6 linked regions of the Canis lupus familiaris genome follow. The protein of the gene in region 1 interacts with the protein of each later gene in a pairwise test. Links are inferred from orthologs where the notes say so. Each region holds a gene or a part of one and is shown in the gene's direction. Other genes may lie near its edges.

Region 1 (3,500 bases):
CCTGGAGAGAGGCCTGGAGAAGCCGCAGGGCTGCTCCTATGGCCGTCTCTGGAGCCATTTCCATGGACCCTGAGCTGGCGTCCTGGGCACTAACAGCTGACAACTACCTCTCTGGTGCCAGAAACAGTCACTCCAGCCCAGAGCTGTCAACTGGGTGCTGGGGGCCTGCTCCCTCCCACGGGAGCCTGGGGTCGGGGACCACATACCTCCTTCCCCAGCAGGCAGTGGTTCCGTCTGTCCCCAGCCACCCACCAACTGGGGGCTCATCCCAATGCCTCCTGTTCTTTCCCCAGGACTCCCCCGAGGCAGGCGGGGAGCGGGAGGAGGACCAGGAGCGGGAGGAGGAGCAGGCCTTCCTGGTCAGCCTCTACAAGTTCATGAAGGAGCGACACACGCCCATCGAGAGGGTGCCCCATCTCGGCTTCAAGCAGAGTGCGTCCCTGGGTTGCAGGCAGGGAGGGGGAGCCCGGCAGGGGATTCCATCCAGGCAGGGTGTCATGCAGGCACCTCCACTCTGGGCAACCCTGGGCGATGCCAGCCCACAGGGCTTGCACACAGAAAGGGCACCCCCCACCCCAGGCACAGGGCTGCAGTGGGTGGGGCCGGACTTCTGTCCTCACTGGCCACTGGGCCCCCAGTGCTTAGGGCCTGGCCTAGCCACCCGTTGCCATGGCCCTGTCTGGGTGTGTGTTGGTTCTGTGCCTGCCTGACAGGTCCACGGGGATGGGCTGCTGGCTGCCCCTTCCTTCCGCAGAGACTGATGGGGGCCCTGCCCTCTCTCTTCTCTAGTTAACCTGTGGAAAATCTACAAAGCAGTGGAGAAGCTGGGGGCCTATGAGATGGTAAGGAGGGTATCTCAGTCCTCAGCATGTTGCATCCTGCAGCCCGTCCCCACTACCCTGTGGGGACCTGGGGAGGAAGAGCCTTGTCTGGGGACAGCGCTGTCCTCACTACCAGACAGGAGGAAGAGGCAGGGTCCCAGAGCCTGCCGCTTCCCCAGCTCTCCTGCATGCTGTGGGGAGGAGGGCCTGCCTGGCCCACTGGTACTTTGCTGCTTCAAGCAGGTTTTCCTGTCTTCCCATCTGTTCTGTCTTCCCCATGCTCCCCAAGCTGGGAACACTGCCCGGGCCAGCAGTCAGGCAGTGGCCCCTGGGGCCGGAGGACTGGCTAGTGGCCAGGGAGCCCCCTCCAGTCTCCCCACTGCTGCTGCCAGAGAGGCAGGTGCCAAACTGCGGTCCTTGCCCCCAGCCTTGCCAAGTGGGGACCTGGAGCGGCAGGGACCCCACCACCTGGGCGGCGTGTGCCTACCATGCACTCACGTGGTGCCCTTGCAGGTGACCGGCCGCCGCCTCTGGAAGAACGTGTATGACGAGCTGGGGGGCAGCCCGGGCAGCACCAGCGCAGCCACCTGCACACGCCGCCACTACGAGAGGTACGGCCGGGGTGAGACCTCAGGGTGGGGCACAGCCGCAGTGGGGCCAGGAGTGGGGTGCCCGAGGGGTGCGCTGTGCTTCCTCACCACCCAGAGCCCTGTGGGGTGGCTGGCCTGCTGCAGGCCTCCTGGATGACGTGGGGAAGGGCGCGGCCCTGGTGGCAAGTGGGCCAGGCCGGCCTCCCGGTGGACACGCTCTGCTCCTCCTCAGGCTGGTGCTCCCATATGTGCGGCACCTGAAGGGGGAGGACGACAAGCCACTGCCCCCTTCCAAGCCCAGGAAGCAATACAAGATGGCTAAGGAGCCTCGGGGGGATGATGGGACCACTGAGAAGCCGAAGAAGGCCAAGGAAGAGAAGCGGTTGGATCAGGTGAGCTCTGTGCCTGCCTGGGGCCACCAGCTGACCCTGGGCCTTCCTCCCCCTGCCCTTGCCAAGGCACAGAACTCCTTGCCCAGAATACCGAGAACACGCTCTGAGGGGCAGACCTGGGGTGGCAGGGGAGGGGGCTTTCCGGGGTAATGGTTGTGTAGGGTCAAATGAGGGGCCATGTCAGGTCTAAACTCCAGTCTGCCCCACAGTCACCAGGCCCCATGTCCTGGTACCAGGCTGCGTCCATTCAGAGGACGGGATACCTTTGGAAAACCTTCCACAAAGGCGCTGGAAGGGCTAGCAGAGGCTCTTGGGAATACCTCTGTGCCCCTGCTGCCATGGGGTCCCTAGGTCAGGATACACAGCTCGCACATCCAGCCCTGAGGCATGGCCTTTTCTCCTTCCAGATGGTGCCAGGAAAGATGAAAACAGATGCTGCCCCTGACCTGGCACGGCTTCCCAACCAGGAGGCCCCCAGGGAGGGCCCAGAACAGCCAGGCCCGGCCCTGGGGCCCTCTCCACCCTTTGGGGGTGCCAGCGGCTGCCCTGAGGCCTACAAGCGGCTCCTGTCCAGCTTCTACTGCAAAGGAACACATGGCATCATGTCACCACTGGCCAAAAAGAAGCTCCTGGCCCAAGTGAGCAAGGCAGAGGCCTTGCAGTGCCAGGAGGAGGGCTGTCGCCACGGGGTAGGCAGCCCTAATGGGGACCCCCAGGCATCCCCTGCCATTCTCCTGTCGGAAAGTCCTCAGAGCCCAGGAAAGCCAGCTGAGAACTCCAGGCACCGGCTAACCCCTCCGGAGGGGTTACAGGCCCCTGGTGGCAGCCTCAGGGAGGAGGCTCAAGTGGGTCCCCGCCTACCAGCCCCCATCTTCACTGGCTGTTTCCACGCATACCCCACTGAGGTGCTGAAGCCCGTCAGCCAGCACCCCCGGGACTTCTTCCCCAATTTTAAAGATGGGGTGCTATTGGGGCCCCCTGGCAAAGAGGAAGGCCTGGCAGTCAAAGAGCCCCAGCTGGTGTGGGGCGGGGATGCCAACCGCCCGTCTGCATTCCATAAAGGCAGCTCTAGAAAAGGCAGCCCCTACCCCAAGCCCAAAGCCTGCTGGGTGTCCCCGATGGCCAAGGCCCCTGCTGAGAGCCCTGTTCCCCTGTCTACCTTCCCTAGCAGCCCCGGCCTGGGTACCAAGCGCAGCCTGGAAGAAGAGGGCTTTGCCCATGGTGGCAAAAAACTGCGGGCAGTGTCTCCCTTTCTTAAGGAGGTGGACGCCAAGGAGTGTGGGGCCAAATCTATGGGGTCTGGTGTGGCCGTGTCCTGCCTGCTGGGCCCAGCGCTGGGGCCTGCCCTCCCTGAGGCCTACAGGGGCACCATGCTGCGGTGCCCACTGAACTTTGCTGGCACCCCGGACCACTTAAAGGGCCAGGCCACTCTCCCCTTCAGCCCCCTGGTCATCCCTGCCTTCCCGGCCCACTTCCTGGCCACTACAGGGCCCTCACCCATGGCCACAGGTCTGATGCACTTCCCCCCGTCATCCTTTGACAGTGCCCTTCGCCACAGACTTTGCCCAGCCTCGTCTGCATGGCATGTGCCACCTGCCACAACCTATGCAGCACCCCACTTTTTCCACCTCAACACCAAGCTTTAGGTTGGAGCTTGCAGTGCTGTGCTGTGCTATGCTGTGCGGGGTCTGAAGTGG
Region 2 (4,188 bases), on another chromosome or scaffold:
GACTCGGAGAGAGAGGCAGAGACATAGAAGGAGAAGCAGGCAGGGGAGCTGATGCGGGACTTGATCCCAGGACCCCAGGATCATGACCTGAGCCAAAAACAGATGCTCAACCACTGAGCCATCCAAATACCTGCAATTTTATTTATTTTTGAAATCTCATCAGTTGTCTCATTCTGAGCAAGCTCTCTATCTAGGTGGGTCTCCCCTGCAAAATAATGCCTAAAGACTACTACCATGAATCTGCCTAGTGTCCTTGTGGTGGCTCCCTATGCTGAGACACTTCCACTTATTCAGTCCCTCCTGCAGGGGCTTTGTAAAGATGTGATGTCATTCAAGGCTGAAAATCAATCTCTGATAAGACTGTGTTCATTTATTCAAAAATATTCACCGAGAGCCTACTATGTGTTAGGCACTGTCTAGATATTGGGGACACAACGATCAAATCAGACAAAGATCTTCTTCTAGCCCTTATTTTTTTTTTTTTATGCCAGATGTCTTTGACTTTTAACAATGGACAAAGTGCTGGCAAAAGAATCAGGTTCTACATTTGGAATTAGGCCACATTTCCCTGGACGGAGGTAGCAGCAGCATCCTGGAATCATACAGCACCTTCCACCGACTTGTAAGTGGAGTCTGACTGGAATCATCAATGACTAGATCAACTGTCACTTTTCTTGGGCCTTTGCCAGGCTCCAGCAAGACAATATCTTTCTGTGGAGTGTATTCAGTACCTGGCAATGGCCCAGGAGGGCAAAGGGCCTGTGTTTATTGGTGGCGCAGGGGCCCAAGACCACCACGCAGCCATTGCTCAGGAACACATTGCCCCCTCGTGGTTCTTTACGTAATTGAGGGAGGGACTGGGATTGGAAAGGCTCTCCAAATTTCCAGATTAATCGTGGTGGCCTTTGCCTCTTCTGAACTTCCATTGCAAGTTCAACAGTTTCTTGGTTTATTTTCATCCAGGATACGCTTTCCCCCCACCCCCCCCACAGAGGCACATGACATCCTGACAGCAATTAAACCTATTTATCAAAAGCTTCAGACTTCCCCCACCCCCAACCCAAGAAAACCCCAGTAAGTGAATGCAAGAATTACCACTCTGTTTTTCTTCACAACGCTCGTCACACAAGTATTTTCTCTGCTTTCTGCTATTTGAACCAGGATCGCTGATCATGTGGCCATGGAGTTGTTTTGGGTGTCTCGTCTCCACAACACCAGTTAAAACTCCCTAGAAGCAGGAGCCTTATCTTCACCCCCACCTCCACCCCACCCCCAGCAGCACTTAAACCAGTACAGGGTGAAGAATGTCTGGCGGGGAGGGGGGAGAGCAGAGAAAGATAAACAGTGAAGCGAGCAAATAAATAGAAGTTGTGATTGGTACTGTGCTGGAAAGGAACAGCATGTCGTGTGAGAGAATTCCTGGGCGTGGGAAGTGAGGGAGAATCTTCTGATAGAGGCCCTTTTAAATTTATGTGTTTATGATACAGGAATGGAGAAGCTCTCTATGGCCCCGGGAAAATGGAAATTTCCTTAATAATAATGCTAGTTTCCCTGTTCTGTAAACTTACACCGGGCAGGAATGAGTGCTGGGTGCTCTAGCTCTACCAACCTATAATCTCCTCTAATTACAACCCCCCTGGGAGGTAACTATAACTACTCCCATTTCGCAGGTGAGGAAACGGAACCCAGGCAGTCCTCTGGCGCGTGGTGCTTAAACAGGTACTGGGTGCCCCCCTCCCAGAATGCTGAGCCCTTTTTCTTCCTTAAGGGGCTTTGACCCTCCGAAGATCATCTGGGTTGGCCTCCAGCTCGGCTCGCCGTGAGCAACAGTCACTTAGCCAACAAGTATTTATTGAGTGCCTACTGTATACCCGGTAGCGTATTTAACTAGCCGTGGGATTATCAAGGTAAACAAGGACACGGTGAGGCTGGCGTTGCGTTGTGGGGAGGCTCCCCCGGAAGGGTGAGGGAGGCAGGCAGGTAAGCAATTCCAGGACGGTCTGCTGAGGGCCGAGAGAGGGGCCTGAGCAGAGGGGGGCGCGAAGCCTAGCAGAGGGCGAAGGCCGGGGCTGAGAGCCTGGGAGGGCCCGGCGTGGGAGGTGGGTTTGAAGCTGCGCCCTGGAAACGCCGGCCCCGAGCCGGCTGCCCCCGGACCTCGCTCGTTCTCTCGCATCCTGTCATTTCGAGCTGCCAAGTAGGAAGGGAGGAAATAGGTCTGAGCCGGTGCTGCAGAGGCAGGGCAGGCTGAGCGACGGGGGCGCGATCCCCACGGCGGTAGCCCACGGCGCGTCCCGGGCGTCGCGCGGGCCCGGCCCGGCGCCCCGAAGCCCCTCTCCAAGCGGGCGCGCACCGCCGCGCGAGCTCGCCAGCTCCGGGGGCCCCCGGGGGCCGGGGAAGCGGGAGGACCTGGCCTCCCTCCCTCGTCCGCCTCGGCCCCTGCCCTCCGACCTCCCGCCGAGTCGGGGGGCTGGGGTCGGCCGCTTCCGCCCGCCGCCCCCCGCCCCTCCCCGGCGCGCGCCATCCGGCCGCGGGCGGCCCCTCCTCCCGAGGGGGGCTTCTGCGTCCCGCGTCCCGTCCCTCCGGGCTGAAGCTGGCAGCCCACGTCTAGGGAGGGCGGAGGGAGGAGGAGGAGGAGGGGGAGGGGGAGGAGAGAGGGGAGGGAGGAGGGCGAGAGAAAGGGAGCTGCTTGGATCCCGTACTTCTCAGAGCCTGCCTGGAGCGCGCACTCAGCGGCTCTCCGGGTCCCAGCGTCCCAGCCGCGCCCCGCACCTCCTCCTCCTCCTCCTCCTCCTCCTCCTCCTCTTCCTCGGGTCTGGGCACCCCTCGCCCCCTCCCTCCGGCCCCCGCCAGGCTCGGGCAGCGGCCGCCCCCAGCCCCGACGCGGCCACATCCCCAACTCTCTGGGCTCCCTCCTGGGACGCGCGCCCGCGCCCCATCCTTTCTTCCTTCCTTCCTTCCTTCCCTCGCGCCCGCCCGCCCGCCCGCGCTCTCCAGGTCTCCCTCCCGGTCCCGATTGTCTCCGTCCCCGCCGGCCCGCGCCTCGCCCTGCCCCGTGTCTCCCGCGCACTTCCTGGGTCGCCTCGCCTCGCCTCGCCGCGGAGCCCGAGCCGCCGCTGCCCCGGCTCCAGCCCCCGCAGCCCGCGGCGCCCGCCCGAGGGAGCCCCGGCGCCCGGGGAAGGGACAAGCGGGCGAGCGCGCCCTCGCCCCAGCCCCGCGCCCCAGCCCTGCCCGGCGAGGAAGGACCGGGAAGATGAACAACGGCGGCAAAGCCGAGAAGGAGAACACCCCGAGCGAGGCCAACCTTCAGGAGGAAGAGGTACCGGGGGGCTCGCTGCGGCGGGGGCACGACCTGGGCGCCGCAGTCCGGGGTCTGGGCACGGCCCTCGCCGCGACCTGTGGCCCCGGGCCGGGGGGGGGGCGGCGGGGGGGGTCTCTTCGCAGAGCGCGTTTCTAAAGTTGCGTAACTTTGAGGACTTTTCGGAGTTTGCTAAGTATAATGCTCAGCTTTGTCTGCGTGGGATTTTAAAAGCGGAATCGAGAGCTGACTCCCGGGTGACCTCCGGTTCCTGGGACCCAGAGGGTCGGGACCGAGTCTGCGACCGGGGCTGGGAGTGGGGGGTGTTTGTGCGTGCGGCGTGAGGAAGGAAGGAACTCGGGGAAAGTTCTCGGCGGGGAGACACCTTCAGTTCCCTGCCCCCTCCCCCTCCCTTTTCAGTGTTAAAAGTTCTCGGTGCGATCTCTTTCCAGCTGAGGCATTCTGGATTAATAGATAACTCATCAGCTGCATTCTTCTCTGATGAGTCAAAGACCTCGAATCTGGGTGATTAGGGTTTGTAAATTTTAGGGGCGATGCGGCTGGGGTGGGGTGGGGGAAGCCGAATAAAAGAGTTTGAGAGTTTACAACTCGCCAAGAGATCATCTTGGCTGTTTTAATAGCACTTTGACTCCTGAGCGTGAATTTTATGTGGTGCGTCCGTAACAAAGTTAAAAACGTTGCGGCGGCGGAGCGTTCCTTGGGGTAGAAACCCCATTTATCCGTGGGAGGGAACACCTGAACGGACGGTTTCAGAATTTTGTAGTTAGGATATTTGTGGTATTCTTTCAAGTGGCTTTGTTCCTGCAGGTATGTTACCTGGAGTCCAAGAAACAGTACATGTTTCGCCTGCTTTTTAAGTTCTCCCATAGCTG
Region 3 (4,091 bases), on another chromosome or scaffold:
TCCCCTCCACCCACGCCAGGCCACCGTTTCCAGGCAGCAGGACACTCTAGCTCCTGGTGCACCCGCAGGTTGCACGCCAACCTCACGGCCCTACCAGCTCCCGAGGTGCGGGTGCTAGCCCTACAGCTGTCTCTGGGGCGGAGTCTGTCCTGGGCTGGGAACCCAGGAGCAAGTCTCTCGGCCCCTTTGGCGCCAAACCCCAAGTCCAGGCCCCTCTCCGCGGGGCAGGGGGAGGGGCAAGGGAGGCGGAGGGCGGCCCCTGACCTCGCCCGGCTCGCCCCACCTGCTGGAGCAGAAGCACTGGCTCCGCAGAGCTGAGCCCCAAGCCCAAGGAGAAGAGAAGCTGTGTCAGCAAGGGGCTTCGGGACTACCACAGCGCTCCGAGGGGCGGAGCCCGCCCCACTCTGGACGCTGCCCAGGGGGAATGGGCCCCACATCACGGGTACCGGGCACTGTAAGAGGCGAGGCTACAGCACCGCCCGACGCCATCAGGCGGGGGGCGGGGCCTCTCGGAAGGCGTAGCCTCTGGGGCGGGGCTGCCGGCACTCGGCCGGGCCTCGGAGGGGCGGGGCTCTGGCCTCCTGGGGGACCCGTCGCCAGAAGGCGAAGAATCGGAACTCAGAGAACTACCGTCAGGTTTCTCACAGTCGGACTTGGAAGCATGTTCGGGGGTGGGACTTCCAGGAAAGCTGGGCAGCAGGGTGGGGTCGTGGACAATACACAGAAAACAAGTCGGGGTTCGGGGAGCCCCCTGAAGATGGGGGTGGGACTTCCGGGGAGGGGGGTCTCAGGGGGCGGGACTTGCACATGAAGACCGGAAGTAGGGTCCCGGGAGAGGGGTTCCGGGGTGGAGGAATGGGTCACCTTAGGAGAGGGAGAAGACCTAACTCACCAGGGCCTCATGGAGTCTCCGCACCGCACCGCGGCTCGATTTGGTTCCGGATCACGCCACTGCCTCCTTAGGTCGCCGTTCCAACTTTCTCCCCGGCCTGGCCTCCCTGAAGAAACTTTATTGCACTCACTTCCGGCCTCACTAACCCCTGACCCTCTACCTCAGCGTCCCTCCTTCAGCCGTCCCACTTTGCCGAATCAGCCAATGGCAATGCGAGAACGCGCACGGGGGCAGGAATAGCCAATTAGAGGCATATTTTTTCCCTACGCTCATTCTTGACTAACGTAAGCAGCGCGGTCCAATAAGGACTCGAACAGAAGCAAATCTAAACCAATCGGCGGCTTGAAGGTGGAGTAGTCCCGCCTTAAACCATGGGGTCCAATAGGAAGCGCGGGCGGCGTGTTTGAAAGCTAGGCCAAAGTGGGTGGGAGCGCGTGCTGCTGGGAGTTGTTTGGAGGTTGCCGGAGTGGGCCTGACGGTCCTCAGGCTGAGTGATCATGTCGCACAAACAGATTTACTATTCGGACAAATACGACGACGAGGAGTTCGAGTACCGGTTAGTGCCGCCGCGGGGGCCATAACGAGGTCGTGAACTTTGACAAGTGAGGGCAAGAGGAGTTAGTCACCGGGGCTGAAGCAACAGGACCGGCGCATGCGCGGGGGACTCCCGGGGCGCGGGCGCGGAGCGTAGCAGGGCGCCTGCGCGAGGGCCTGGCGGCGAGAGGGCGCGGACAGCTGCGGACCGCAGTGTGTCCCGCGCCGGGGAGCGGGCGGAGGGGGCGTGCCTAGAGCTCGAGGCCTCCGCACCCCGCACCATGCGGGGTTCTGGATCGTTCTGGGAGCTTCCCCGGGCACGTGGAGGTTGCCCGCTGGGGCGTGCTGGAAAGAAGTGGCCGCAGCGGTGCTGAACGATCCGGGAAAGGGGGCGCGGGCGTGCGGCTCGTGGGAAGGTCTGACCCGGCGACGCAGCGCCGCAGGCTCGGGAGTTGCGCCCGGGCACGGTGTGACGGAGGCAGCGCCGCCCCTCCAGGAGGAGTACCAGGGAAGAGCGAGGATGCTGCCCGCGTGCCGTTTTGGCTTCTTCCTGGAAGAACGTGGGATGGAGACTTGGCAGGCTTGCGTTTCCTTCCCGGCCAAGTGCGGGGCTCCGGGGACTCGGCGTGTGCTGACCCTTGGGGGACCCAGGCCACTTAGGTTTCTTTCCGCCGCTGACTGTGCGCTGCCACCTCTGCAGAGCTAGTTTCAGCTCCCCGAAGTTGTAAGTCCGGGCGCTGGCGTTGGGGGGCGTCGGTCGGGTCCGATTAGGGATCGAAGACGCTGTTTGTGAAAGAATTTGCTACTAGTACACACCTACTGTGTTTTCCCTGAGCATGATGGGGTCTATCTGGAGTAGCCCAACTCAGGTGAGAGTAAGGATTTTTTTTTTGCCATGAAAGGAGATTTATCCTTGGTTAGGAAAACCTGGGGTTTCCCAAGAGGAGTCTCATGGCAACTCTTTTCAGAGTTGGGAAAATGAAATGGAGGGTACATTTCAGAGGAGAAGATATTCACATTTCATCCTTGTGATGGCTCTTCCTCACAGCGCTCCACAAGAGGCCTTTCTTCTCCACAAAACCAGCCGTTTTCAAAACTACCTTTAATAATTAACGCTGTGAGTGTCGTGGGGCTGCCCTTAGATCGTTCTAATCAGCTAGCAGACTGAGCTGGAGGAAGGCAGGGGCGCGGTGTCCACAGCGCCTGTTCACTTGAGTTACTCACGCGTGCTTTTTAACATACTTGGGGGGACGATTTGCATAATCTGGCCTTTATTTCTAGCTGCCTCTGCCCCATGATAAGAGTACATAAACTCTCCCATTGGGAACCAATTTTTTCTTTTCTTTGCTCTCTTGGCTTTGTACACAAGCATTTGTCTAACACAACTGCACCCAGTACTGATGTGATCCCTCCGTGTTTCTGTTACAGGCATGTCATGTTGCCCAAGGACATAGCCAAGCTGGTCCCTAAAACCCATCTGATGTCTGAATCTGAATGGAGGAATCTTGGAGTTCAGCAGAGTCAGGGATGGGTCCATTATATGATCCATGAACCAGGTCGGTGCGATGGCTGAAAACAACCATTTAGGGCTCCTTGGCTGAGGAAAAGAGGAATGATAAGATGGTATAACCCAAAGAAATAGAGGTGAGGGTGGTCTATTGGTTCCTCACCAGCCACCTAGAAAAATCAGAGTGATGGGATCCCTGGGTGGTGCAGCAGTTTAGCGCCTGCCTTTGGCCCAGGGCGCGATCCTGGAGACTCAGGATCGAATCCCACGTCGGGCTCCCGGTGCATGGAGCCTGCTTCTCCCTCTGCCTATGTCTCTGCCTCTCTCTCTCTTTCTGTGTGACTATCATAAATAAATTTTAAAAAAAATTTTTTTTAAAAATCAGAGTGACAAAAAAGAGTCAAGTACTGGGAAGTTCAGAAGACAACCTGTCCCTGAAAAAACTCTTTCAATCTCTAATTCAGTCTGAGCATCACACACACACACCCGTCACCCTTTTTAAGGCCACAAACACCCTGGTAGAGGTTATGGATCCTGCATCATTCTCCATGAGAAAGCAAATTCTCAGATGTGTCCCAAATAAGCCAAGGGAAGTATATTTCTTGATAAGACACCAGACCCACAAGCAGCCAGGCAAATCTAATAAAGGAGGTGGGCAGGGGATGGGGGGGCTGTACAAACACAGCAAAGGAACTGATGCTAATAGTTCTCTGCTTAGCAGACAGGCCCAGCTTTAGGGTCTGCTTCTGAGGCCATATGCTTACATCTTAATGTAGTTCTAAAGGTCTGAAATGGGAAGGGGACGCACTACACACTGCAGAGACCAGGGTGAGCGTGTCTCTTCAATGTCACTCTTTCAGAACCTCACATCTTGTTGTTCCGACGGCCACTGCCCAAGAAGCCGAAGAAATGAAGCTGGCAGCCACTTTCCAGCCTCAAGCTTTACACAGCTGTCGTCGCTTGCTAACATCTTCCTGATAACATCATTATGTTGCCTTCTTGTTTTCTCACTTTGATATTTAAAGGATGTTCAGTACACTGTTTGTGCTGCTGACTGTTTTGCTTGAGCAGAGCCAACAGCACCATGGCCCGGCCAGTTGAGTGCTCTTTGGGCTGCAGCCTCAGCTGAGCTGTGTACCCAGCAGAGCACACTTGGTA
Region 4 (3,789 bases), on another chromosome or scaffold:
AGAATTATATTATCTTTTAAACAAGGTGCTTTGTTAAAAAAAAAAAAAAAAATTTTTTTTAAGGGCACCTGGGTGGCTCAGTGTTTGACCTCCTGCCTTTGGCTCAGGTCAGGATCCTGGGGTCCTGGGATAGAGCCCCGCATGGGGCTCCCTGCAGGGAACCTGCTTCTCCCTCCGCCTCTGTCTCTGCCCACCCCTCATGAATAAATAAAATCTTTTTTAAAAAATGAAATAAAGGGCAGCCCGGGTGGCTCAGCGGTTTGGCGCCTGCCTTCGGCCCAGGGTGTGCTCCTCGAGTGCCAGGATTGAGTCCCGCGTCGGGCTCCCTGCGTGGAGCCTGCTTCTCCCTCTGCCTGTGTCACTGCCTCTCTTTCTGTGTCTCTCACGAATAAATAAAATCTTTTTTAAGAAATGAAATAAAAACTGGAAAATGTGAAAAAGGAAATGCGCCACCAAAGAGAGCAGTGTCCGGAGCGTCAGGCCAGCGCCTCTGCAACCGCCCCACCCCGCCCCCAGCCCCAACCCCGGGAGCGCGCGGAGCGGGCGGGAGTCCGGGCCGCCGTTGCCATGGCTACGCTCGGGGGCGGGGCGCGGAGGAAGCGGCTCCGCAGCCGGCCCCGCCCCGCACTGCGGCAGTAACGCCTCCGCGGGCTGCGGTGGGACCCCGGCGGCCCCGCTGCGCCACACCGCCGCAGCCCGCCGCAGCCTGCGCGCCGCCGCCGCCTGTGGCCCCGCTTCCCCGTCCTTCGGCGCCTCCGCCGCCCGTGTGCTCGGTCCTCAGCCGCCCTCACCGCCCGGAGCCATCCCTGCGTCTGCAAAGAAGCCGCTGGCGGGCTGGCGTGGCAGCCACCGCCGCGACCTCAGAACAGGCTCTGCCTCCGGGGACCGCACAGCCCTCGTCTGCAGAGCAGCCGCTCCTCGGCCGACTGGAGGCCGGGCTCCGGCCGCGGACGCCGGGATCGCCTCCGAGGGGAGCCCCGAGTGCCGGCGCCCGGCTGCCGGGAGGAGGCGGCCACGCCCCGCGACCACACCCGGGCGCCTCCGGCCCCGCGGCGCAGCCCTCGCCAGCCGCGCTCGCTGCCCGCCTCCTGCGCTGCGACGGGACGCGACCCCCGGCTGCAGGTGGGGGACCCGGGCCGCGGGCCCCGACTGAGGACGCCGGTGGCGGCGGACGCGTGAGGCGACTGCCCGAGCCTCCCGGGGCTTGGCTCCGGGGACCAGCCGGCGGACTGCCTTTGGGGGCCGCGAAGGAAGAGGGCAGGACTCTGGTGTCGTTTGTTAATTGTGATTGCGTCAAGCTTGCCTCCCTCGCGCCTACGGGGGTGGGGGGGTGTCTGCTGCCGCGCTGAGCCCTAGAGCGCAGGGAGCCACAGCCTAATCCGTCTTTGTAGAATCGGGGCCCTCGCTAGTTGGGGAAATGGCGATGACGCTGTTGGAAGACTGGTGCCGGGGGATGGATGTGAACTCCCAGAGAGCCCTGCTGGTCTGGGGGATCCCAGTGAACTGTGATGAGGCTGAAATCGAGGAGACCCTCCAGGCTGCGATGCCCCAGGTGCCCTATCGAGTGCTTGGGAGGATGTTTTGGAGGGAAGAGAATGCGAAAGCAGCCTTGTTAGAGCTCACTGGCGCTGTCGATTACGCCGCGATCCCCAGGGAGATGCCGGGTAAAGGAGGTGTCTGGAAAGTGGTCTTTAAACCCCCGACTTCCGATGCTGAATTTTTAGAAAGGTTGCACCTCTTCCTAGCGAGAGAGGGGTGGACCGTGCAAGATGTTGCCCGCGTCCTTGGGTTTCAGAACCCCACTCCGGCCCCGGGTCCAGATATGCCAGCAGAGATGCTAAACTATATTTTAGATAACGTTATTCAGCCTCTTGTTGAGTCCATATGGTACAAGAAGTTGACGCTGTTCTCGGGGAGGGACATCCCGGGGCCTGGGGAGGAGACCTTTGATCCCTGGCTGGAACACACTAATGAGGTCATAGAGGAGTGGCAGGTGTCTGATGTAGAAAAGAGGCGGCGGTTGATGGAGAGTCTTCGGGGCCCCGCCGCTGATGTCATCCGCATCCTCAAGACGAACAACCCTGCGATAACCACTGCCGAATGCCTGAAGGCGCTTGAGCAGGTGTTTGGGAGCGTCGAGAGCTCTAGGGATGCGCAGGTCAGATTTCTGAACACTTACCAGAACCCGGGAGAAAAGTTATCTGCGTATGTCATTCGTCTGGAGCCTCTTCTGCAGAAGGTGGTGGAGAAGGGGGCCATAGATAAAGATAACGTGAACCAGGCCCGCCTGGAGCAGGTCATTGCCGGGGCCAACCACAGCGGGGCCATCCGGAGGCAGCTGTGGCTGACCGGGGCCGCGGAAGGGCCTGCCCCTAACCTCTTCCAGTTGCTGGTGCAGATCCGCGAGGAGGAGGCCAAGGAGGAGGAGGAGGAGGCGGAGGCCGCCCTCCTGCAGTTAGGCTTGGAGGGGCACTTCTGAGGCCCAGGAAACGGCGACAGTGCACATCTAGATCGCAGCCGCTTACCTTGTCTCCGTGCTCTTACAGATGTGTCCCTAGTGGTAAAGACTTCCGCCATGTGCTGTTTTGGGGGTGGGGGTAGGGAGTCAGGCCTGAGTATTCATGTAACATTAGTACAATCGCGCAAATGAGCACCCTGAGCTGCTACAAGTGAGTCGTACTCGCTGCAATGCCAGGTAAAGACTTGTACACAAGTGCTCAGTGCCAGCTGTCATTGTGGCAATCATCCGTTGTAAAAACCATGTGAATCCCTGACACTTCTCATTGAGATAATTGTGAAATTGCATGTTCAGATGTTTTAGCGTGGGGCCTGGCAAACACAGGAAGTGTTCGGTAAAAATATGAGCCGTTGTTACTAATATTGTGAATAGTTTTTGTGTTTACAGTAAATTGTTCCTAAGTTTTTTCCCTAATTTATATTAATGGAAAGAAATGTGACTCATACTATTTATTCAGCCTTACAAAGCAAATTGTTTTATTTTTCATCTCGAAACATCTGGATCACTTTAATTGAAAAGTATTCTGAGACTATGGAATGGGATGTTAGAAAAATACTGCAATTCTAGAATTGTGTGAATCAATTTTTCTGTGTACAAGACACAGGGAGTGTCTTGTTGCATGGGGAGATTAATAAGAACCAGTTACAGTATCTATTCCCCCATTTCAAATCCTTGTCATTGAATGGTAGTTCTTGTTCATGCTGATTCTAAGTGTTCTAAATTTGAAGTTGTCAAAATACATGTATATGAATAAAAGTATTTAAAAAATTCTATTGTCTTTTTTTTCTGACACATATATAAAATTTCAGTGTAATTAAGCTCTATATTTATTCTCTTAGGAAGATTTCCTGGTGTCACTTAAAAAAAATATAACTTCAGTTACTGTATCTTTAACCTTATAGCATACTATTTGAGTTTGAATTACAGAACCTTTCAATGTATTCAATTTTTGCATGTTTTCTACAAGGCAAATATTAGAAGGCTGAACAGACCTAAGTCAATATTAACTTACTATAAAAAGTTAGGAAATCCTGAAATGGGGCTCAGGATGTTATCTAGTAATGCTTTTTCTCCCCTTTCAAATCCCTTTTCAGGGATCCCTGGGTGGCGCAGCGGTTTGGCGCCTGCCTTTGGCCCAGGGCGGGATCCTGGAGACCCGGGATCGAATCCCACGTCGGGCTCCTGGTGCATGGAGCCTGCTTCTCCCTCTGCCTGTGTCTCTGCCTCTCTCTATCTCTCTCTCTGTGACTATCATAAAAAAAATAAAAACC
Region 5 (4,297 bases), on another chromosome or scaffold:
TTTCTATTTACTAGAAAAACAATACCAATAATGTACCATTTTCTATTAATACATAATCCTCTCCTTGAAAGTGTAACATGCCTTTGGAGCTAACCTTTTTGGAATTAAGAAAATTGTTATTTTATTTAACTATGGGTTTTCCAGTGAGCCAAATGTTAAAATTTTAAACTTTTTGTTTTTTTTTTCTTTCTCTCTTAAGATTTTATTTACTTGACACACAGAGAGAGAGAGAGAGAACACAAGCGCGGGGGGGGGGGTGCAAGAGAGGGAGAAGCAGGCTCCCCACTGCAGGAAGCCCAATGTGGGGCCAAATCCCAGGACCCAGGACCCTGAGATCATGACCTGAGCCGAAGGCAGGTGCTTAACCAACTGAGCCACCCAGGAACCTCATGAGGTTTACTTTCTTTATCTGTGTAGAATTTGTGGTCAGTTCAGTAAAAATTTATTGGCACCTACTTTGTGTCTAGCACTTGATTAGTTCCTTTTACTCAATGACCTTCTACTCAAATAGGCAAAATTTCATAGAATTTCACAAAGTGCTAGCAGTCTGAGAATTACACACACTGCATAGATAGAAAGCCAGAAGATGTCTAGAGCCATGTATAAAGAACCCTGTGTGTTTCTAATGAGAATGAAAGGAATTTGCTAAGCCTAAATAGCCTCTGTTTAGTTCTAAGTCAGTGATCACGATATTAAAGAAAGTTGTACCATTACACATATGAGTGCTTTTCATCATTCAGTGACATAGTGAAAAAAAAAATAACTAAGTAGAAACGTCAGTTCCCCATATCAAAAGCTATGAAATATAAGTGCTCCCAGCCAAAGAAGGCAAGATCTGGAATTTTTTTTTAAATGTGGATATATAGAATAAATATGCAACCCTCCTGATAATGTTGGCTGATGAAATGAAATTCACCAACTGTAATTCTGGCACAGAGAGACACACATAGTGCCCGCATGCACACACACACACACACACACACGCACATACACACACACACCCTCGGCATATCCTTAATCATTTGCTATCTTATTTACATTTCATTTGCTAGAGTAAATTCTATCATTTGAACTTTAAAAAAATGTATTTCAATATTACTTAGGGAAAAATAGGAAATAATGTGATTGGCTTTCAAATAGCTTATTACCATTCAAATACTCTCAAGATAAATTATATTAAAGGGAAAAAAAAGAAAGAAACCCTGTTTCAGCTTCCGAAACATTCTAAATGGAGACTTAGCTCTAAGTAATCAAAATTGCTTTAGTTGTGCAGAGCGGCATTAAAAGCCTTGTCCACTAATTGAGTGAAGCAGTGCTACTGGAGCAGCCTTGTCCCCTCATTAGATGATCTTGCAGGCACTGTTTGTCATTCTGGGTTGCCGGGCTCAATCTAACAGTACTGCTGGCTCAAATTAGTGGTAATTCATTATGACACAGTATGTCCTTCTGTGAAACAACAATATGAAGCCCATGGGGCATCTGTCTGCCACTACTACTTCTTTATCACATTCCTCCCACTTCAGTTCAAGTAACCACCTTTGCATGAACCTTCTAACTTCTTTATCTAACTGGTGATTGGGGATACAATTTGACTGAAGCATTGCATCCCCTTCCCCTCCACCAATGTTACAGAGCGAAAAAGGATGGGTATCACACAACAGGCCAAGTCAGTCTGGAAAATGATGCCATGTTTTGAAGGAAGCAAAGTGTACTTGTGTATATGTGAGTGCAAGGACTTCTTTTTGAATACAAATATTTCCCTTGTATCAAATCATAGAGGCTATTAATAGAACATATTGTGATAGAATGTTCATAAATGCCGCATAAATCCAAAGAGAAGGAAATTTTTCTGACTATGTGAGTTTGGTTACTCAACACATTTGGAGGGAAACTTCATGTTTATATGATGAGCATTGCTGTTCAAAATGAGACTTTTCTACTCATGGGTAGGTGGAATCCTGTCTCTAGGGGAAAGTTCCATCAGTGATGCGATTGGACACTTCCTCTTACCAACTCTAAATTGTGTGTATCAGTTAGTTCATTGTGTCAATTCAGATCATTTGTTCCATCTCTGGAAGAATGACTAAATTCAACTGATAAAGAATGTCTAAACCATGTTTAGATAAAGCTTTTCCTCTGAAATCCTTAAATTGCCTATGGATGTGGAAAAGTTCGCACTTATTGACTGTTGACTCTACTGTGTTGGAAGCGATGGTGCTTAGTCAGTATGAGGTACAGGACAGTAGTGCACCCACTGTTTTCCCAAGGCTGAGCCTAATCTCACTGCAGGATATCTACTCCATGCAATATGGGCCTGGTGGGATTTTAACAGCATTAAAAGCCTACCTACTTCCACACCATTTATCGTTTGAAATTCCACAATTAGACTCATTCTTTTGGATTATAGTTTTATAAAGAAGGAAAAAAAACCCTTTTCTTGACATAATCTGATTGCTTAAACTGGTTAATATATTACTATTCATTATTAGTAATCATTTATTCATTTATCTAATATTTAACTCTTTACCTTCATAAAACACATCCTAGCAAAATCCTTCAGTTCAGCAGTAGTCCTCATTACCCCATTTTACAAAATTCTTCCATAAAATATAGATATATCTGTTTTTACATCGTAGTTCTTAATGTGTCTTGACTGAATTCCTGCTTTCTTCACAAATTGGCTTCATCCATATTCAGTTTCACAACTTCAGTGAATAGCAACTCCCTCCTGTTTGCCCATTCCAAATACCTGGGAGTCATCCTTTGACTTCTAGCTTTCACTCACATCCGTATCTATGTCACTGGTAAATCCTATCTGCCAAAATATATATTCTGAATTTATACCATTACCATTTGGCTCAAGATAATGCCAGCTGTTGCCTGGAATATCAAAATAGGCTCTTTACACCTACCTTCAGTCTATTTATAGCATAGCTCTGAAAATAAGTGGGAGCATTTTTAGTTCAGAAGGTCTGGGGATTTAGAGATGCTAAATGATCAACCATGGGCTTGATGGTCAGGGCAAAGAGAAATTGCCTACCCAAAATACCAATAGCAACCCCATTGAGAAGTGCTGAGCCCATTAAAAACCTAAGTCACAGAATGTTCCACTTTTGCTCAAACCCCTTCAATGGCTGCTATTTTTTTTTCTGAGAATAAAAGCCAGTATTATTACAATGGCCTACAAGGCCTTACACAACCCATCTTTGACTCTCCCTTATATCTGATCTAATTTCCTGTTCATTCTCATTCATTCCCTGCATTACAGCCACTCTGAAAATACAGTCATTCTGACATGCTATTCTCACTGCCTGAAAAATTCTTTCCTCACTATGCATGTCTTACTCCTTCACCTCCTAACTCAAATGTCTTCTTTCTTGGTTACCCAGTTGAAGAGACTCTGCTAATTATTATTTATTATAATATATATTATTATAGTATATAATATAGTAGTATAGTATAGTATATATATATAGTATATAGTATATAGTATAGTATATATAGTATAGTAGTATATATTATACTACTAATATTTGTAGTATAATAAAGATATATAGTAGGTGCTCAATAAGTAGTTTTTGAATGAATGGATTTTAGCTTATAAAAACCTTAGGCAGTTTTCCATTAAAGAAACGAGACTTTAAAAGCTAACAGGCTAGTAGATTTGTCAAGCCTGTCATACATAGCTTAGTAAAGAGACAAATTTTGACCTGTCCTTATGAATACATTTATTTATTCATTTGCTAAGTATTTAACTTTAATTAGGCACTGTTCTAGGTGCTAGAGGTAATGAAGAAAAGTAGGTAAAGTAATGAAGAAAATAGGTAAGGTCATAAAGCAAACTAATTTTAGAGATAGTAAGTGCTAGGAATGCCTGGGTGGCTCAGCAGTTTAGTGCCTACTTTTAGCCCAGGGCATGTTACTGGAGTCCCACATTGGGCTTCCTGCAGGGAACCTGCTTCTCCCTCTGCCTATGTCTCTACCTCTCTTTCTGTGTCTCTCATGAATAAATGTATAAAATCTTAAAAAAAGATAGTAAGTGCTATACAGAAATAAAAGGAAGAAGGGAGTAGTTATAGGTAGCGGGGGTGTGGCCTCCAATTCTTATGTTTTTCCCACTGTAAACTGATTTTAATAATTACTTTATTTGACACATTAGCAAATACTTAAAAATAAAATGAAGTGGGGAATTAATACAGAGACAGCTATATTTTGAAGAGGTATATGTTGTCTATTAGAAAGAAAATGGATTATGATGTCAGACAGTCTTAGGTTCAAGTCCCAGATCTGCCACATG
Region 6 (4,145 bases), on another chromosome or scaffold:
ACCCGGGATCGAATCCCACATCGGGCTCCCGGTGCATGGAGCCTGCTTCTCCCTCTGCCTGTGTCTCTCTCTGCCTCTCTCTCTCTCTCTCCGTGTGACTATCATGAATAAATAAATTTAAAAAGAAAAAAAAAAAATTAAAAAAAAAAATTAAAAAAAAAAAAAAGAACATTGTGTTCTGGGCAGCTGGATGGCTCCTTCAGCCCAGGGCGAGATCCTGGAGGCCTGGGATTGAATCCCACGTTGGTCTCTCTGCATGGAGCCTCTTTCTCTCTGATGGATAAATAAAAAAAAAAAAAAAAAAAAAAGAAAAAAAAAAGAACATCTTGTGCTGGGGGCGCCTGGGTGTCTCAGCAGGTTAAACGTCTGCATTGGGCTCAGGTCATGATCCCGGGGTCCTGGGATGTGCAGCCCCTGCATGGGGCTCCCTGCTCGGCGGAGAGTCTGCTTCTCTCTCTCCTTTGCCCATCCCTCTGCCGGTGCACTCTCTCTCTCTCAAATAAATAAATAAAATATTTTTTTTAAAAATGTCTTGTGGGGCAGCCCAGGTGGCTCAACGGTTGGGCGTCCGCCTTCGGCCCAGGGCATGACCCCAGGGTCCTGGAATCGAGTCCCACGTTGGGCTCCCTGCATGGAGCCTGCTTCTCCCTCTGCCTGGGTCTCTGTGTCTCTGGTTAACAAATAAACAAAAATCTTAAAAAAAAAAAAAAAGGTCTTGTTTAGCTCCATCTCTGTACTTGCGCAGAGGCGGCGTATCTTAAAATGAAGGTTGCCCGGGGCACTGCTGCCTTAGAGGGTGGCACCCCTGCCCTTAAGGACAGTGAGGGTAGGGACGAAGGGAGAGAGAGGGAGGCTACAGGAGGCGGCAGGCCGGGCCCTGCGCGGGGCCTCCCTCGGGCAGAGGGGCAGCGACGCAAGTGCAGGCGGGCACCTGCCGGCGGGACGGGCAAGGCGGCCAGGACCCACTGACGGCGCCGCCAGCCCGCGCAGTCCAGGGGCCGGGGCCGGGGCCGGGGCCGCCGCGCTCCGCAGGTGAGGTCACCTTGAGCTGCTGCGCAGAGGTGGAAGCAGGTTCCGGGGAGCGGCTTCAGCGGCTCTGCCCCCGAGCGCCCCAGAGAGAGAGAGAGAGAGGAGGGGGGGGGGCGGAAAAAACAAAGGCAAAACCAAAAAAAAAAAAGCCAACAACCGTGTTTGGAGACAATACCTGCATTCGGTTTTCTTCCCGTCGTGGGACGCGGGTGGGGGTGGGAGGGCGAGACCCAAGGGGCGGGGCCGCCGCGCGCCGGGGGGGCGGGGCCACGCGCGCCCGCCCTCCAGCTACTGGACGCCGCGCGGGAGGGGCGGGGCTTCCGGTGGCGGCGGCGCTCGGGCGTCGGGTGACGCGAGGCGGACGGGCCGTCACGTGACACGGAAGTGACTACGAACAGGAAGAGGACGAAAAAAATAACCGTCCGCGACGCCGAGCCGAACCGGACCCGCAGCCACCATGAACAGCAAAGGCAAGGGCAGGGGGCGGCCGGGGCCGTCGGGGGGACAGTGCTAGCCTGGAGCGAGCGGGCCCGGAGCCCGGGGTCGCCAAGCGGAGGCTTGGGGCGCGCTGCGCCTCCCTCCCCGGCCGGCTGCGGCCCCGGGGGCCGCGCCAGACGCCTTCGTCATCCCCGAACTGCGGCTGCTCGCTGCTTCCCGGCCCTTTCCTCCTTAAACTCTGTGGCGCAGTTTGGAGCTGCGGGCTCGGGTGGAGGGGCGGGGGGGTGCAGGGGGGAGGCTTGTCATGATGGGCATCTGCGGGAGCAAATGGGGAGCTAGAGCAGGGATGCGGGTCGGCCAATGGCGCGCCGGCGGGGGCGGGGCTTCGCGCTCCGGAACCAGAGGCCGGCGCCCGGGCTTAACCAGTGCGGCGCCGGCGGGCGGGCCCCGGGGCCCGGGGGCCCGGGGGCGGCGGAGGGGTCTCCCTCCGCGTGCCTCGCGCGGCCGCCCGAAGTGCCCCCGGCTCCTGGGACTGTGCCGGCGTCGGGCCCCACACGGTCCTCCGCTGTGCCTCAGGACGGTTCCCGTTATCCTCCCTCGGGTCCCGAGGGCTCACGTCCATCGCGCGCTGTATTCGGAAGGCGACCTTGAGTAGGAAGCGGCGGGGCAAATAACCCGCAACCTCCGTGACCCAACGAGGTCGCGGCTCGGTCCAGCCAGGCCTGTGGCGACCACCCGGAGCCGGGGCAGCGCGTCCCTGCCGTTGGGCACGGGCAGGAACGGGGCCCCACACCTGCCCTGCATCGATGGAGAAGCTCGGGTGTGCCAGTGGGAGGACTGCCCCGGTAGGAGTAGGGATAAGGGTGCGAAGAGAATATTCTCTCGGCCCCAGAAATCAGCCCCCACCCCCACCCCACCACCCAGAGCGGTCTGTCTACACATCTCCAGCTTGCTGCCCCTAGGGCAGCTACCCAGGATGCTCTGCCCCATTTTGGTGGCTCTGTGTGGTAGGCAACATGCATTTTCTTTTTCTTTCCTTTTTTTTTCTTTTTTTCTTTCTTGTCTTCCAGGTCAATATCCAACGCAGCCAACCTATCCCGTGCAGCCTCCTGGGAACCCAGTGTACCCTCAGACCTTGCATCTCCCTCAGGCTCCACCCTATACTGATGCTCCACCTGCCTACTCAGAGGTGCTTCCAGTTTACTAGACTTGAACCCAGTGCTCTTGGGTCACATCTTCAGTCCTTAGCTAATAAGCCTGAGTCCACGCATATCTATTCAGTGTCCGTAAATAGGAGAAGGGAGGGCTCACGTGAATAGTCTGAAACACTGTACACTTCAGCGCAATTTCTGTTGGGGTTGAGACTGCATCATCTGATTGTTTCATGTTTTTTTTTTTTTTTTTTTTTTGGCACCGGGTGAGGTTAAGAAGATGAGCTTGCGTTCCTTGAGCCTCACGTTAGCTATGGCAGGAAGTGATGCAGGAGGGTACTGAGTGGCAGTGGAAAGGCAGTTTGTGTAACTCAAGAGTGTAATCTGCACAAGGACAATTAAGAATTGAGCGTAGAAGGGATCTAAAATCGGAATGTCATAAAGTAACCTGTTGCCTTCTCTTCTAGCTCTATCGTCCGAGCTTCGTGCATCCGGGGGCTGCCACGGTCCCCACCATGTCAGCTGCATTTCCTGGCGCCTCACTGTATCTTCCCATGGCCCAATCTGTGGCTGTTGGACCTTTAGGTTCCACAATCCCCATGGCTTATTATCCAGTTGGTCCCATCTATCCACCTGGTTCAGCAGTGCTGGTGGAAGGAGGGTATGATGCAGGTGCCAGATTTGGAGCGGGGGCTACTGCTGGCAACATTCCTGTGAGTATGACCTTATCAGAACAACTCAGCTCTTACGTAGTTTAACTTTCTGAAGAGATTACATATTCATCCTTTCACCATCCCTGGGTAATAGCTGTGGTATGGGTATAAGCACTGACATCCAGTAGTTGGGCAGAAAGCAGTTGAGGGGGCAGGAGAACTGTGGCAAGTCAGTAGCATCTGGCACATTCCCTGGGGCCTGAGTTAACCAGATTCCTTTGTTTTCCTATACCTCTTTAAAGCATTAGGAGTCCTGCCTGCTGCTTTTGCAGTTCCACTTTGGTACTGGTCTAGTAATACTCCTTATTCAGCCTGTAACATTTACTTCAAATTTGCCTTCAGTATGGCATTCCATTAAGAAACGTGATAAAAGAAAAACGTGATGAGTAAAAATGGAGAAAGACACATGAGATAAGCACTGTGTGTTATATGTAGGCAACTTGAATTTAAATAAAATAATAATTTTTAAAATCCTGAAAAAAATGAAGAAAGCATAGTCCCCTATTAAGTGGCATTTAGAAAGATACTAGAGATTTTAGTTATGTTGCCTGCTTAGCTCCCCCCTCTATAAGAATTAGAGCCCAGGTGGTCCTTGCCTCAAAGCCATATACCTGAAATGAGGTGAGAATGCCTTTAAATGAGTGGTAGGCTCTTTTCCTGTCTGTACCTTTGGGTTCACAGAGAATATAGACCTGCTTTACAACCCACGTTGGCAGAACTAGCTTTAAGATGTGATTGGTCAGGACACTGCCATCTTTCTAATGGATCCTGTTTCACGTGTGTCCACTTCCCTTGTCTCAGCTGCCCTCTGCCC

Evidence for each region.
Region 2: the proteins of ARID5A (region 1) and RBPMS interact in binary tests that used the Homo sapiens proteins (3 or more experiments, as listed by UniProt). The two-hybrid records come from large-scale screens. The link is inferred for Canis lupus familiaris from reciprocal best matches to the Homo sapiens genes ARID5A and RBPMS.
Region 3: the proteins of ARID5A (region 1) and CKS1B interact in binary tests that used the Homo sapiens proteins (3 or more experiments, as listed by UniProt). The two-hybrid records come from large-scale screens. The link is inferred for Canis lupus familiaris from reciprocal best matches to the Homo sapiens genes ARID5A and CKS1B.
Region 4: the proteins of ARID5A (region 1) and PNMA1 interact in binary tests that used the Homo sapiens proteins (3 or more experiments, as listed by UniProt). The two-hybrid records come from large-scale screens. The link is inferred for Canis lupus familiaris from reciprocal best matches to the Homo sapiens genes ARID5A and PNMA1.
Region 5: the proteins of ARID5A (region 1) and SOX5 interact in a two-hybrid assay, tested with the Homo sapiens proteins (2 studies listed by BioGRID and IntAct). The two-hybrid records come from large-scale screens. The link is inferred for Canis lupus familiaris from reciprocal best matches to the Homo sapiens genes ARID5A and SOX5.
Region 6: the proteins of ARID5A (region 1) and DAZAP2 interact in binary tests that used the Homo sapiens proteins (3 or more experiments, as listed by UniProt). The two-hybrid records come from large-scale screens. The link is inferred for Canis lupus familiaris from reciprocal best matches to the Homo sapiens genes ARID5A and DAZAP2.

The regions. Positions count from the first base shown.
Region 1 is NC_049238.1:34,496,492-34,499,991, reverse strand, and holds part of ARID5A (AT-rich interactive domain-containing protein 5A), read left to right. Parts: intron 1-293; coding exon 294-432; intron 433-789; coding exon 790-842; intron 843-1,334; coding exon 1,335-1,432; intron 1,433-1,643; coding exon 1,644-1,803; intron 1,804-2,210; coding exon 2,211-3,449; 3' UTR 3,450-3,500. UniProt on the Homo sapiens protein: DNA-binding protein that may regulate transcription and act as a repressor by binding to AT-rich stretches in the promoter region of target genes.
Region 2 is NC_049237.1:34,777,312-34,781,499, reverse strand, and holds the start of RBPMS (RNA-binding protein with multiple splicing), read left to right. Parts: upstream 1-1,388; 5' UTR 1,389-1,670; intron 1,671-1,768; 5' UTR 1,769-1,907; intron 1,908-2,994; 5' UTR 2,995-3,250; coding exon 3,251-3,316; intron 3,317-3,781; exon of another isoform or gene 3,782-3,796; coding exon of another isoform or gene 3,797-3,820; intron 3,821-4,188.
Region 3 is NC_049228.1:42,484,136-42,488,226, reverse strand, and holds the start of CKS1B (cyclin-dependent kinases regulatory subunit 1), read left to right. Parts: upstream 1-1,291; 5' UTR 1,292-1,389; coding exon 1,390-1,448; intron 1,449-2,854; coding exon 2,855-2,982; intron 2,983-3,793; coding exon 3,794-3,846; 3' UTR 3,847-4,091.
Region 4 is NC_049229.1:47,276,435-47,280,223, reverse strand, and holds PNMA1 (paraneoplastic antigen Ma1), read left to right. Parts: upstream 1-1,163; 5' UTR 1,164-1,417; coding exon 1,418-2,479; 3' UTR 2,480-3,289; downstream 3,290-3,789.
Region 5 is NC_049248.1:23,356,332-23,360,628, reverse strand, and holds the start of SOX5 (transcription factor SOX-5), read left to right. Parts: upstream 1-1,497; 5' UTR 1,498-1,643; coding exon 1,644-1,722; intron 1,723-4,297.
Region 6 is NC_049248.1:43,029,625-43,033,769, forward strand, and holds the start of DAZAP2 (DAZ-associated protein 2), read left to right. Parts: upstream 1-1,345; 5' UTR 1,346-1,486; coding exon 1,487-1,499; intron 1,500-2,537; coding exon 2,538-2,656; intron 2,657-3,085; coding exon 3,086-3,254; coding exon of another isoform or gene 3,255-3,331; intron 3,332-4,145. UniProt on the Homo sapiens protein: In unstressed cells, promotes SIAH1-mediated polyubiquitination and degradation of the serine/threonine-protein kinase HIPK2, probably by acting as a loading factor that potentiates complex formation between HIPK2 and ubiquitin ligase SIAH1.